Linked DNA regions of Ovis aries. The protein of the gene in region 3 purifies or fractionates together with the protein of the main gene of each other region. This does not show direct contact. Links are inferred from orthologs where the notes say so. Each region holds a gene or a part of one and is shown on either strand. Other genes may lie near its edges.

The links.
Region 1: the proteins of NUAK2 (region 3) and PPP1R12A purify together in Homo sapiens (affinity purification with mass spectrometry; 3 studies listed by BioGRID and IntAct, counting the BioPlex papers as one, with this or other methods). This does not show direct contact. The link is inferred for Ovis aries from reciprocal best matches to the Homo sapiens genes NUAK2 and PPP1R12A.
Region 2: the proteins of NUAK2 (region 3) and BTRC purify together in Homo sapiens (co-immunoprecipitation; 3 studies listed by BioGRID and IntAct, counting the BioPlex papers as one, with this or other methods). This does not show direct contact. The link is inferred for Ovis aries from reciprocal best matches to the Homo sapiens genes NUAK2 and BTRC.

Annotation. Positions count from the first base shown.
Region 1 is NC_056056.1:115,837,611-115,841,178, forward strand, and holds part of PPP1R12A (protein phosphatase 1 regulatory subunit 12A), read right to left. Parts: intron 1,243-3,568; coding exon 1,152-1,242; intron 87-1,151; coding exon 1-86. UniProt on the Homo sapiens protein: Key regulator of protein phosphatase 1C (PPP1C). Mediates binding to myosin. As part of the PPP1C complex, involved in dephosphorylation of PLK1. Capable of inhibiting HIF1AN-dependent suppression of HIF1A activity.
Region 2 is NC_056075.1:22,067,575-22,071,142, reverse strand, and holds part of BTRC (F-box/WD repeat-containing protein 1A), read right to left. Parts: intron 3,160-3,568; coding exon 2,910-3,159; intron 2,423-2,909; coding exon 2,304-2,422; intron 1,093-2,303; coding exon 982-1,092; intron 1-981. UniProt on the Homo sapiens protein: Substrate recognition component of a SCF (SKP1-CUL1-F-box protein) E3 ubiquitin-protein ligase complex which mediates the ubiquitination and subsequent proteasomal degradation of target proteins. Recognizes and binds to phosphorylated target proteins.
Region 3 is NC_056065.1:2,924,826-2,928,393, forward strand, and holds part of NUAK2 (NUAK family SNF1-like kinase 2), read right to left. Parts: intron 3,446-3,568; coding exon 3,326-3,445; intron 2,869-3,325; coding exon 2,736-2,868; intron 1,946-2,735; coding exon 849-1,945; 3' UTR 1-848. UniProt on the Homo sapiens protein: Stress-activated kinase involved in tolerance to glucose starvation. Induces cell-cell detachment by increasing F-actin conversion to G-actin. Expression is induced by CD95 or TNF-alpha, via NF-kappa-B.

The sequences.
Region 1 (3,568 bases), on a different chromosome or scaffold from region 3:
TCTTCATTTTCTTGTTCTCTGGTTCGGGTGGAACGACTCCTCCCTATTGTTTTTTCAGCTTCCTGAAGATCAGTCAATGTTACCCCCTGCACACGAAAAAAGATATACTAAATATTAAGTTAAAAATTAAATGTATTAAATTAAATATGAATGTATTAGAAGTCAAATATGCATGTTTAGAACTGGTCTGCAAATTTAAACAGAATTTCTACTTAGCAAGTCATATTCACTCTATGAAGAATCATCATGAGCAAGCACAGCAGTATGTACTGGGAAAGAAAGAAAATATATGCAAGAAATTGTCTATTAAAGAAATTAACAAGATAGCACAGGAACTGACCGTATGAATATAAATATTCGTAAGAAGTTGAAAGAAGGAAAAGCCAATATATACACTCTTTATATATTAAAGTTACATGTATTTATGAGTTTTTATATATGTAGATGCACAAAGAGAAGATTTCAGTAGGGTGGTAATTTTTGAAGGTTAAGTCCCCAAAAGGATAGATTGAATTTCAAGACGTAAAGGTACAAAGACAGAAAAAACATGTCAAGATCCTACAAAATACAGTTTAACTTGAAATGTAACTAATGGTAAGGATCAAATAGTTTAATCTGGACTTTGGAGCCCCTGTACTGCACAAAAGGGAAGATAGAAAGAGATATAAGAGACAGAGTCAGACGGCAAGGAGGTAAGAAGATGATAATTAGCTGGAGTTGACATTTTTCTCATACTTGCCACATCAGCTTTTTGAAATACCTAACATAAAATGCTTATTTCCCACCCCTTCCCAATACGCAGAATTATTTAATAATTATAAGACATCATATATGATTCATTTTTAACACTAATCAAATACTCTGAATCAGACACTATATTAGGAATAGAAACATAAATACTCAAAAGAGATATACAAAGGCATACAAAACATGCCTTAACAGTAGTAGCCATATGTAATATCAGATGAAATGTAATTAGATAAAATGTAATATTAACAGCACAGCCATATTTAAAAGGCTACAGGAGGATTACTAAAACTATTATACTTTAAGATTCATTCAAACTATAAACTGAGATCAAAATTTGCACAGAAATGTGAAAAGGGGAAACATAATTCTGAACTTTAATGTATTACACACATTAAATATACCTGTGTTGATCTTCTAGACTGCCTTGCTTGTCTAGATCTTGCTTTTCTTTGGGATTCAGACTCTTCATCTCTAACAGGAGTGAGGTATGATCTACAGTAATAAATAAAAATCGTCAGTTGGAAATACATTACCTATGAATGTAATCACACATGAATGTACATAAATGAAACATTTAAGTTTAACATTTTAATGGATTTTAAAAAAGAGTTATCAGAAAATGGTTACACCCACTCTGAAATTCAACAATGCAGTTTGATAGTTTTTTAGACTGTAACTACTCATATTAACATATATTTTTTAAAGGTTTTCCTATCCACAGTTTTGTTTTCTCAAACTTGTAATATCATTTCTCTTAGCCCCTTTCAACATCATCCTAGATAATATGTGAAGTTACATGGCTAAACTCTAGACTGTCAATCTTTTTATGGTAACATCATTAGGACTGAATGCAGTTTGTTAGGATGTGAGATGACTAGTGAAGAAGCACGACTCCCTGCACTACTGTCATCCTGCACTGACTAAAAATATTATGGGCGGACATCATACTTTTGTTCATATTTAAAGTTCTCTAAAAATTCAAGTGTTGTCATATATGAACTTTAAAATCAGCATCTTACTCTTGGGTCACTGATTTTCTGATACAGAAAATAACATTTGGTACTATCTTTAACTAGATTTTATATTTTAAATCTAAGCCTAGCAGCGGTGGCTGCGCGGTGCAGGAGTGGCTGAGAGGAGCTACCCCTCGTCCAAGGTCGGGGCGGTGGCCAAGAGGAGCTACCCCACGTCCAAGGTAAGGAGCAGCAGCTGCTCTTTGCTGGAGAAGCCGTGAAGAGATATCCTGGTTCAAGGTAAGAGAAACCCAAGGAAGACAGCAGGTGCTGAGAGGACGTCAGAGGGCAAACGGACTGAAACCACAATCACAGACAACTAGCCAATCTGAACACATGGACCACAGCTTGTCTAACTCAATGAAACTAAGCCATGTGCTGTGGGGCCACCCAAGACGGACAGGTCACGGAGGAGAGTTCTGACAGAATGTGGTCCACGGGAGAAGGGAATGGCAAACCACTTCTCACTGTTCACGAGAACCCCATGAACAGTATGAAAAGGCAAAAAGATAGGACCCTGAAAGATGAACTCCCCAGGTCAGTAGGTGCCCAATATGCTACTGGAGATCAGTGGAGAAATAACTTCAGAAAGAATGAAGGGATGGAGCCAAAGCAAAGACAACACCCAGTTGTGGATGTGCCTGGTAATAGAAGCAAGGTCTGATGCTGTAAAGAGCAATATTGTATGGGAACCTGGAATGTTAGGTCCATGTATCAAGGCAAATTGGAGGTGATCAAACAGGAGATGGCAAGAGTGAACATCAACATTCTAGGAATCAGTGAACTAAGATGGACTGGAATGGATGAATTTAACTCAGATGGCCATTATATTTACTACTGTGGGCAGGAATGCCTAGGAAGAAATGCAGTAGCCATCATAGTCAACAAAGGAGTCTGAAATGCAGTACTTGGATGCAATCTCAAAAACGACAGAATGATCTCTGTTTGTTTCCAAGGCAAACCATTCAATATCACAGGAATCCAAGCCTATGCCCCAACCAGTAACGCTGAAGAAGCTGAAGTTGAATGGTTCTGTGAAGACCTACAAGACCTTTGAGAACTAACATCCCCAAAAGATGTCCTTTTCATATAGGGAACTGGAATACAAAAGTAGGAAGTCAAGAAACACCTGGAGTAAGTGGTAAACTTGGCCTTGGAGTACAGAATGAAGCAGGGCAAAGGCTAATAGAGTTTTGCCAAGAGAACACACCGGCCATAGCAAACACCCTGTTCCAACAACACAAGAGAAGACTCTACACATGGACATCACCAGATGTTCAACACTGAAATCAGACTGATTATATTCTTTGCAGCCAAAGATGGAGAAGCTCTATACAGTCAGAAACAACAAGACTGGGAGCTGACTGTGGCTAAGATCATGAACGCCTTATTGCCAAATTCAGACTTAAAATGAAGAAAGTGGGGAAAATCATTACACCATTCTGATATAACCTAAATCAAATCCCTTATGTTTATACAGTGGAGTCAAAAATAGATTTAAGGGGCTAGATCTGATAGACAGAGTGACTGATGAAATATGGACGGAGGTTCGTGACATTGTACAGGAGACAAGGATCAAGATCATCCCGAAGAAAAAGTTAAAAAAAAAAAAAAAAAGGCAAAATGGCTCTGAGGAGGCTTTACACATAGCTGTGAAAAGAAGAGAAGTGAAAAGCAAAGGAGAAAAGGGAAGACATACCCATTTGAATGCAGAGTTCCAAAGAATGACAAGCAGAGATAAGAAAGCCTTCCCCAGTGATCAGTGCAAAGAAATAGAGGAAAACAACAGAATGGAAAAGACTAGA
Region 2 (3,568 bases), on a different chromosome or scaffold from region 3:
GCCCAGGTCACACATATCAGAGGACTGGGGTCCATGTAAGACTCTGAGTTGATATAAGCAATATTTAAATAAGAAAAGTTTAGCCCTTCTATGAATCGATTTTATGTCCTGTATCCTCAAGGTAAGTAACAGACAAAACCCAAGAAAAGGGTACAGATCAAAACCAGGGCAGTAAGAAAAATACAGCCTTGGACTTAGCTGAAACATGTAGTCATACCCCCAACAACTTCCCAAGGGTCTGACAGTGACGGCTGACTCAAAGCAGAGGAAATGGGTCTGTTAACACTTACTGCTGCTTGAGTCGTCTTAATGAATCAAGTATAGCCAGCTCGTAAACTAAGATAAAGTTGTAAGTTAGTTTCTGATATTTTTAAAAAGCTGCCAATATTTGAACTGTGGCCTTCCTGTCCTCCACATCAGGCACCCTGATGAGAAGAAATGACAGACAGCATTTCATAAATGAGTTCTCTCTTGTAAGAATATACTATGTGCTCATTAGCGTCGCTGGATGTGGGATCCATCCACAACATGAACGGAGTCTGTAACCACTGGAAAGTAGACTGAAGGAAAGTAAAGATTATTTAATGCACTGTGACTGAAATGCCAGCAGTATACTAAGTCCCCTCCAAAGATACTATCCTCCAACATTTCAATTTTATTAACAAGTCACTATTTTATATCCATATCCTGATATACTAGGGTTTATCCAGTTCTCTGCTTTATAGGGCAAAATAAATATATGAAAAAAAATCCAAAATACTAATGAAAATCATGAGCAAACAAGTATAATTAAATGACTGCGAAGATTATTTGGAAAAGAGTGAACAAAGGAGATGTGAATACATGGATTAGACACAAGAATACTGTATCAGATTCTTTCTGTGATATCTATAATCTTTTGGAGACAAGGAAAGGCTATGTTTAACATTCTAAGGCAGGGGGGATTAAGAGAACTTTTAAAAACCCTGTCAGCACGCTCACCCATCATAGGCTCCACTGACTATCCTCTTGTTATCAAATCGAATACAGCGCACCAATTCCTCATGGCCTTCTAACACTCGTAAGCATGCACCACATTCTATGTCCCATAATCTGAAAGAGAACATTGAGTGGAGTGAATTTCCATGCATTCTTTTCTAAGCTTGGAATGTTATAACAACATACATCGTATGTCTTTTAAAATATCCAAAATATAAAAACCAATCAACACTCATATACAAATATATTACTTTCAGTGTAATTTATTTACTTTCTGCCATAGAAGCAGAAAAATGTACGATTTAAGTTCAAATATGTTGTAAATATTTTTAAAGCATCAAGCTTCATATAAACCTATAATCAGGGTCACCAAGGAATATAAAAGATGAATTTAATGTACACAGTTGCCTAAGAAGGAAAGGGCCAAGCCAAGAAACATAATATTTCTGGAAACCACAATTAAATAAGAATGAGATACAGGAACGGTGACATCCTGCTCTCACAAAATATGTGTACCTCTATCACTGAGGACACCCTCAGCTTTCACCCCACTGTTCAGGACAGTTTTTCTCATATAATAGAAATGCAAAGTAAGTTCTCAAAAATTTTTATATACCAATTTAAATTATGTATGCCTTCTGACCAATCCACATGATTTCTAGGAATGCTAATTTCCTTAGATATAACAATGTCTGTCTGTCGTTTTTTCAATGGCTTTTTCATTCCCTTAGCACTTCTTTGAAGGAGAGGAGAGGGTTGATAAATCTTTCAAATTCTATGCATATGTGTGTCATTCATTTTCATGAAGGGAAAACACCGAAAAGTACTTCAATTTGAGGATTCTTCATAAGTTGTTCATAATTTCGAAGACTGGTAGGTCCCTGGCCCATTATGTAATGCTAAAAAACCCAAAATTGTACAACTTCTAGTAGGGGAACAAATCTATTTTCTTTTTTTAAAAACACTGGCAAAGAGAAAAGCCCTTTAGCTGTTTATTAGCACTTATCAACTGCAGACAGGAGAAATTTAGAGAAGGGCCTTCAACCTCCATTTTTATTTCTCTTGCTCACTTCCTCATTCAAGAAGTTCCTTTTAAATAGGTCTATCTGGTGATAAAACTATTACAGGAAGGAAACACATCAACAAAAGGCTTTGCTGTGCCGTCTCTCTGCTTGGGGCAAACTTTTAACCTGTAAGAAGCCACAGAAAACTGAAAAATGTTTTATTATAAACAGAACACAGTTGACAATTCCTTTGGTCTGTGCACAAACAATAAATGGCAGGATAATAGCAATCCCTTCTGGGCAAGGGCACCTGCTGCTCACCTGATTGTGTTGTCAGATGAGCCACTCACGACCAGCCTGTCTCTGTACTGCAAACAGGCAATTCCGCGTTTGTGTCCATTTAAGGTCCGTACAAATTCACAAGTACTTGTGTTCCACACCTGAAACAGAAATGGCATTTGGCAGTTGATTTGGTGCTTTTATTAGTAAAATCTATGGCAACTGCAGTTTTAGGGAAGCAGAAAATGGGACTGAACTAGCAGGGGAAATTCAATGTCTTAAACCAATCCAAGTCAAATCCCAGATGACAAGTTTAATTCACAGTAATATAGGGCTAATTTGTAGCTGGTTGCTATCATATGAGAAATCCTCAGGTTGATGTGCTCTTATGGGGTCAATCTCGCCTTGTAGACAAATCTTGAACCTAAAATTACCCCTGCCTTTTTCATACTCACCATTATTTACAGGAATAAAAACCTAACCCAAATTGTCACATGATCTATCTGATTCATTACATAAACTAGTATCTGATTTAAATAAATATTAAGTATTCTACAGTGAGGGTTAAATATAAAATTGTCCTTGAGAAGATATCCATATGAACTCCCCTACTCTAAGGTGGGGACTTACTGAAAAATGCCTCATTACCTTTATAGTCCTATCCCCAGATGCAGAAACGATGTACTTATCATCAAAGTCTACAACATTGACTGCAGCTCGGTGTCCGACAAGTACCCTGCGGAGGGTGATGTCAGTTGGGGAGGCCATATCCCATACTGCAATGGAACGGTCTTTGGAGCAGGTCACCATCATGCCATTATTGAAACGCAAGTGCAGAACTGCTTCACAATGGTGAATCAATGTGTTCAGCATTTCACCTGTATTTACATCCCACACCCTGGAACAAAAATATTACGGTTATCTGAGATTGTGGTGAAATTCATGCTACAATCTATTTTAAGTACTGGATTACCTCACTGCCCACCACTCCCACCCTATTTCTCCCAGTTAATGGTATACCTTACTCTCCTTTTGTAGCTCTGAAGTTGAGCTGAGGTGAAGTGTACTAATGGACCATGGGGAAGTGATAGTTAGAGGACTGGACTGGGAAAGCGGGAAGAGGAAGGGGATGGGATACTGCCAGTATGCAATCCTTAAGACACACAACTTGAAATCTGGGCTAGCTGCAGGGTGCTGAAATGAGGGTGCAGCAACCATCACCAGCAAATTGTTCCCAAACTTCAAGATTATCATAAACCTTCTGACATTTAATCTGATACATTTTAAACTGGTGGGAATTTTGCTAA
Region 3 (3,568 bases):
GTGGCAGAGCAGCTCTCCTGGGTTCCCTTACCCTCCTGCTCTCCACCCGGGCACCCTTTCCCAATAAAATCTCTTGCTTTGTCAGCACATGTGTCTCCTTGGACAATTCATTTCTGAGTGTTAGACAAGAGCCCAGTTTCGGGCCCTGGAAGGGGTCCCCCTTCCTGCAACAGTTGGTGGAGATGGGAATGTGTGCGTGAATGAAGAGCTTCTAGCCCACCTTGGCAGGACGGCATCACACACAAACTAACTCTTTACAGGAGCTAGGCACTGATACAGTGCTCTTTCCAGCTCTCTGTGGCCCTACTATGGAGAGGGCACAGGCTACATTGTACCCGCACACGGGCGGGCAGCCGGCAGAGACCCTGGCCAGGCCTCTGTGGCCCAGTGGCTGCAGCACCAGCCTTTGTTTAAGAAGTCCAAGAGTAAGAACTACACAGCCCAGACCCTCCAGGGGGACGCCGCCCCTCGCCCTGGTAAGGGTGGCCTCAAGCTGCCAAAGGCATCCTCAAGAAGAAGGCATCGACCCCCTCAGAGGGGGCAGTGGGCAAGGCAACCTGGAAATTAACAGGCAACCTAGACTCAGCCACGGGCCTTCCTCACTGCTTCTCTGTACTCATTTCCCCTCTAGAGCTACCTTCTTGGTTCCACGGGGCTGAAGACATTGAACCCTCAACACACTTCACTTGCCCACTGCCCACATTCAGCCCTCCCCATGGCTCAACTGAAACCACCTCAGCCTTCTGGGCTGGGATGTGGGTCCTGGGAGGCAGGGAAGAAGGCAGTCTCCCCCTTAGGGTGCATCCAGCTGCATCTCAGAGCCTTCCCGCATGGGCAATACCCCCTCTTCAGCTGAGCTCCGAGCAGACCCTCAGTCCCTGCTGGCCGCCCTCTGTCCCCTCCGGGCAGTCCAGCAGAGAAAAGCAGCTAGTCCCCAGGGGGTCCTGCCTCCAGCGCCTCAGGCCTCGGCTTCCGGGGCCCTCCAATGGGGGTGCATCCAGCCCCATGAGGTTGTCCACAGACACAGAGCCCCGCAGAGGGGGCTCGGGGAGCCGTTCGGGCAAGTCCAGCTGGTCGAAGGACTCAGAGGACAGGATGCTATCCTCACTCACAGCCCCCGAGGGGTGGCTGGCCCGGGCTGGAGGGCGTGGGGAGGCCAGTTCATCCAAAGAGCCGAAGGCGGTGGGCGCTGTGTGCTCCAGGGCCGCGTGCGAGAACTTGCCATTGTGTTTGAGAATACCCTTGCGATGCGGCGGCCGCCCCGAGGCTGGAGGGGGCTTGTGCTCCATGGTATCCCCACTCACAAACACGTTCCCGGCATCCGTATCCCCACTCACAAACACGTCCCCGGCATCCAAGAGCTCCCCAGACTCGCTGGGCTCAGGCGAGGAGTAGTAGCCGGACTCCCGCTGGCGTGCCTTCTTGAGGATGCCCTTCTTGGGGAGCGGCGGGCCAGCCTGGCCTGGGTTGGCGGGACTGGGGCCGGGCTCAGGGCCCTGTGTTGCCCCCTCTGCGGGATTTGATGTCTTCTTCTTGAGAATGCCTTTCGGCAGCTTGAGGCCACCCTTCCCAGGGCGAGGGGAGGCATCAGTGGCCGGGGCCCCCTGGAAGGTCTGGGCCATGGCGTTCTCCTTGCGGGACTTCTTGAGCGAGTGCTGGCGCTCCAGGCCAGGGGCGAGGGCCCTGCCGCCCGGCGCCTGCTGCTTCAAGAAGCTGCAGACCTTGGCGCCGTTCTCCAGGAGGGGTCGGGAGGAGCGCCACAGCCACTGAGCCACGGAGGTCCGGCCGGGGTCGCTGCTGGGGTGCCCGCCCTCGTTCAGGGCCCCCTGCTCCCCGACACGGGTGGTGTAGCCCCAGTTGACCCACCAGTGGCTGGCCACGTCCTCCAGGGTGGCCCGGCGGGTAGGGTTCACCATCAGTAGCCACCGGATTAGGCCACAGGCATCTAGAAGGGGAGAGAGAGGCTTCAGCTCCGTAGCCACAAGCTCGGGCACCCACAGCATCCCTTCTGGCTCACCCCATGGATGCTAAGACGGGGCTCCCTCCCAGGTCAGCTGTGCCCCCAGGCAGGCTCCCCAGTCTCCAGAACCGCAGGACCACAGCCCTGTTTACAGGTCTGCTCCTTTGCTCCAGTGAAATGCAGGCCTCTGGGGGTGGAGGCTATGCTGCTCAAGAGTAAACCAAGGTCCTCACACCCTTCTTCTCACCTTACACATTGTACATGAAAGGACAAGATTTCTAAGGACAAACGCAGTAGGCAATGAGACAACTGTGGCAGAGAGGATCTAGACTAGGCTTTAGGAAGCACTTCCCAAATAAGCATGCCCATAAAGGAAGATTTAGCCCTTCCTTCCTTGCAGGTCACAGACACAGGAGGCAGGGAGATGAGAGCAGCTACACTGGGTTGCCATCTTCACTTAGTGAAAGCGAAAATCGCTCAGTCATGTCTGACTCTTTGCAACCCCACGGACTGTAGCCCACCAGGCTGCAACTGCAGACAATCCCCTCAGTCCACGGAATTCTCCAGGCAAGAATACTGCAGTGGGCTGCCGTTCTCTTCTCGGGGGGATCTTTCAGACCCAGGGATTGAACCCCAGTCTCCAGCTTTGCAGGCAAATTCTTTACAGTATGAGCCACCAGGGAAGCTTCACTTTGCGTCACTGTTTAATTCCTGCATCAGGAATTAGCAAAGGACACCCAGGGTCTGGATGGGAATGCCCACATCCCTCACTCACCAGAGGGTTTAGGAGGCTGCCGGTAGGCCCCGTTGCTGATCTGTTTCACCAGTGTCTTGTGGTCCTGCCCATCAAAGGGCATGGAGCCATGCACCAGGATGTAGAGGAGAACGCCCAGGGACCAGCTGTCCACCTGAGGGAGAGACGGGGTCAGCCAGGAGGTCCTCATGCCGCAGGGCGAATGGCTCCAGGCTCGCCTTCAGTACCCATGAGGGGGAACCCAGAGCCCAGAGCATCCAGGGACCACCTCCTTCTAGCACCCAGGGGCAAAGAGGACAATACTGTAGAAGGGACTGGAAGTCATGGAGAGAGGCGTCACCTGCCTCTGCTTGGGGAGGCTGGCCGGGGGCTAGGAAAGGCAACGGGAATGCAGAAGGTGTGGGGCACAGAGCCACGCTGTCAGGGGTCAGGGGTCAGAGGTCAGAGGACTTGAGCGCTCATGCCAGTTTTGCTACTCCCAGCTACAGAACTGGCTAGGCACTGCTTTGGTGGGGAAGTGAGTCTTGCAATCTGAGAAAGGGAATCATTAGAAAACCAGCTCATCCCTCTCTCAAGGTCTAAGCCAAGAGATTAGGAGGCCAGGTGCTCACCTCTGGTCCTGTGTAGGGCTTTCCATTGACGATCTCCGGCGAGGCGTAGAGGGGGCTCCCGCAGAACGTCTGCAGGAACTTGCCTTGGTGGTAGAGGTTGGAGAGGCCAAAGTCAGCGATCTGTAGGATTGGGTCAGACACGGACAGGGTTAGGGTTAGGGTTAGGGGCCTGGACTGTTTTGTAGCTCCTGGTCTGCCCCTCTCCAGACCCTGAGGAAACACAGGTCCTGGCAGAAGGAAAGG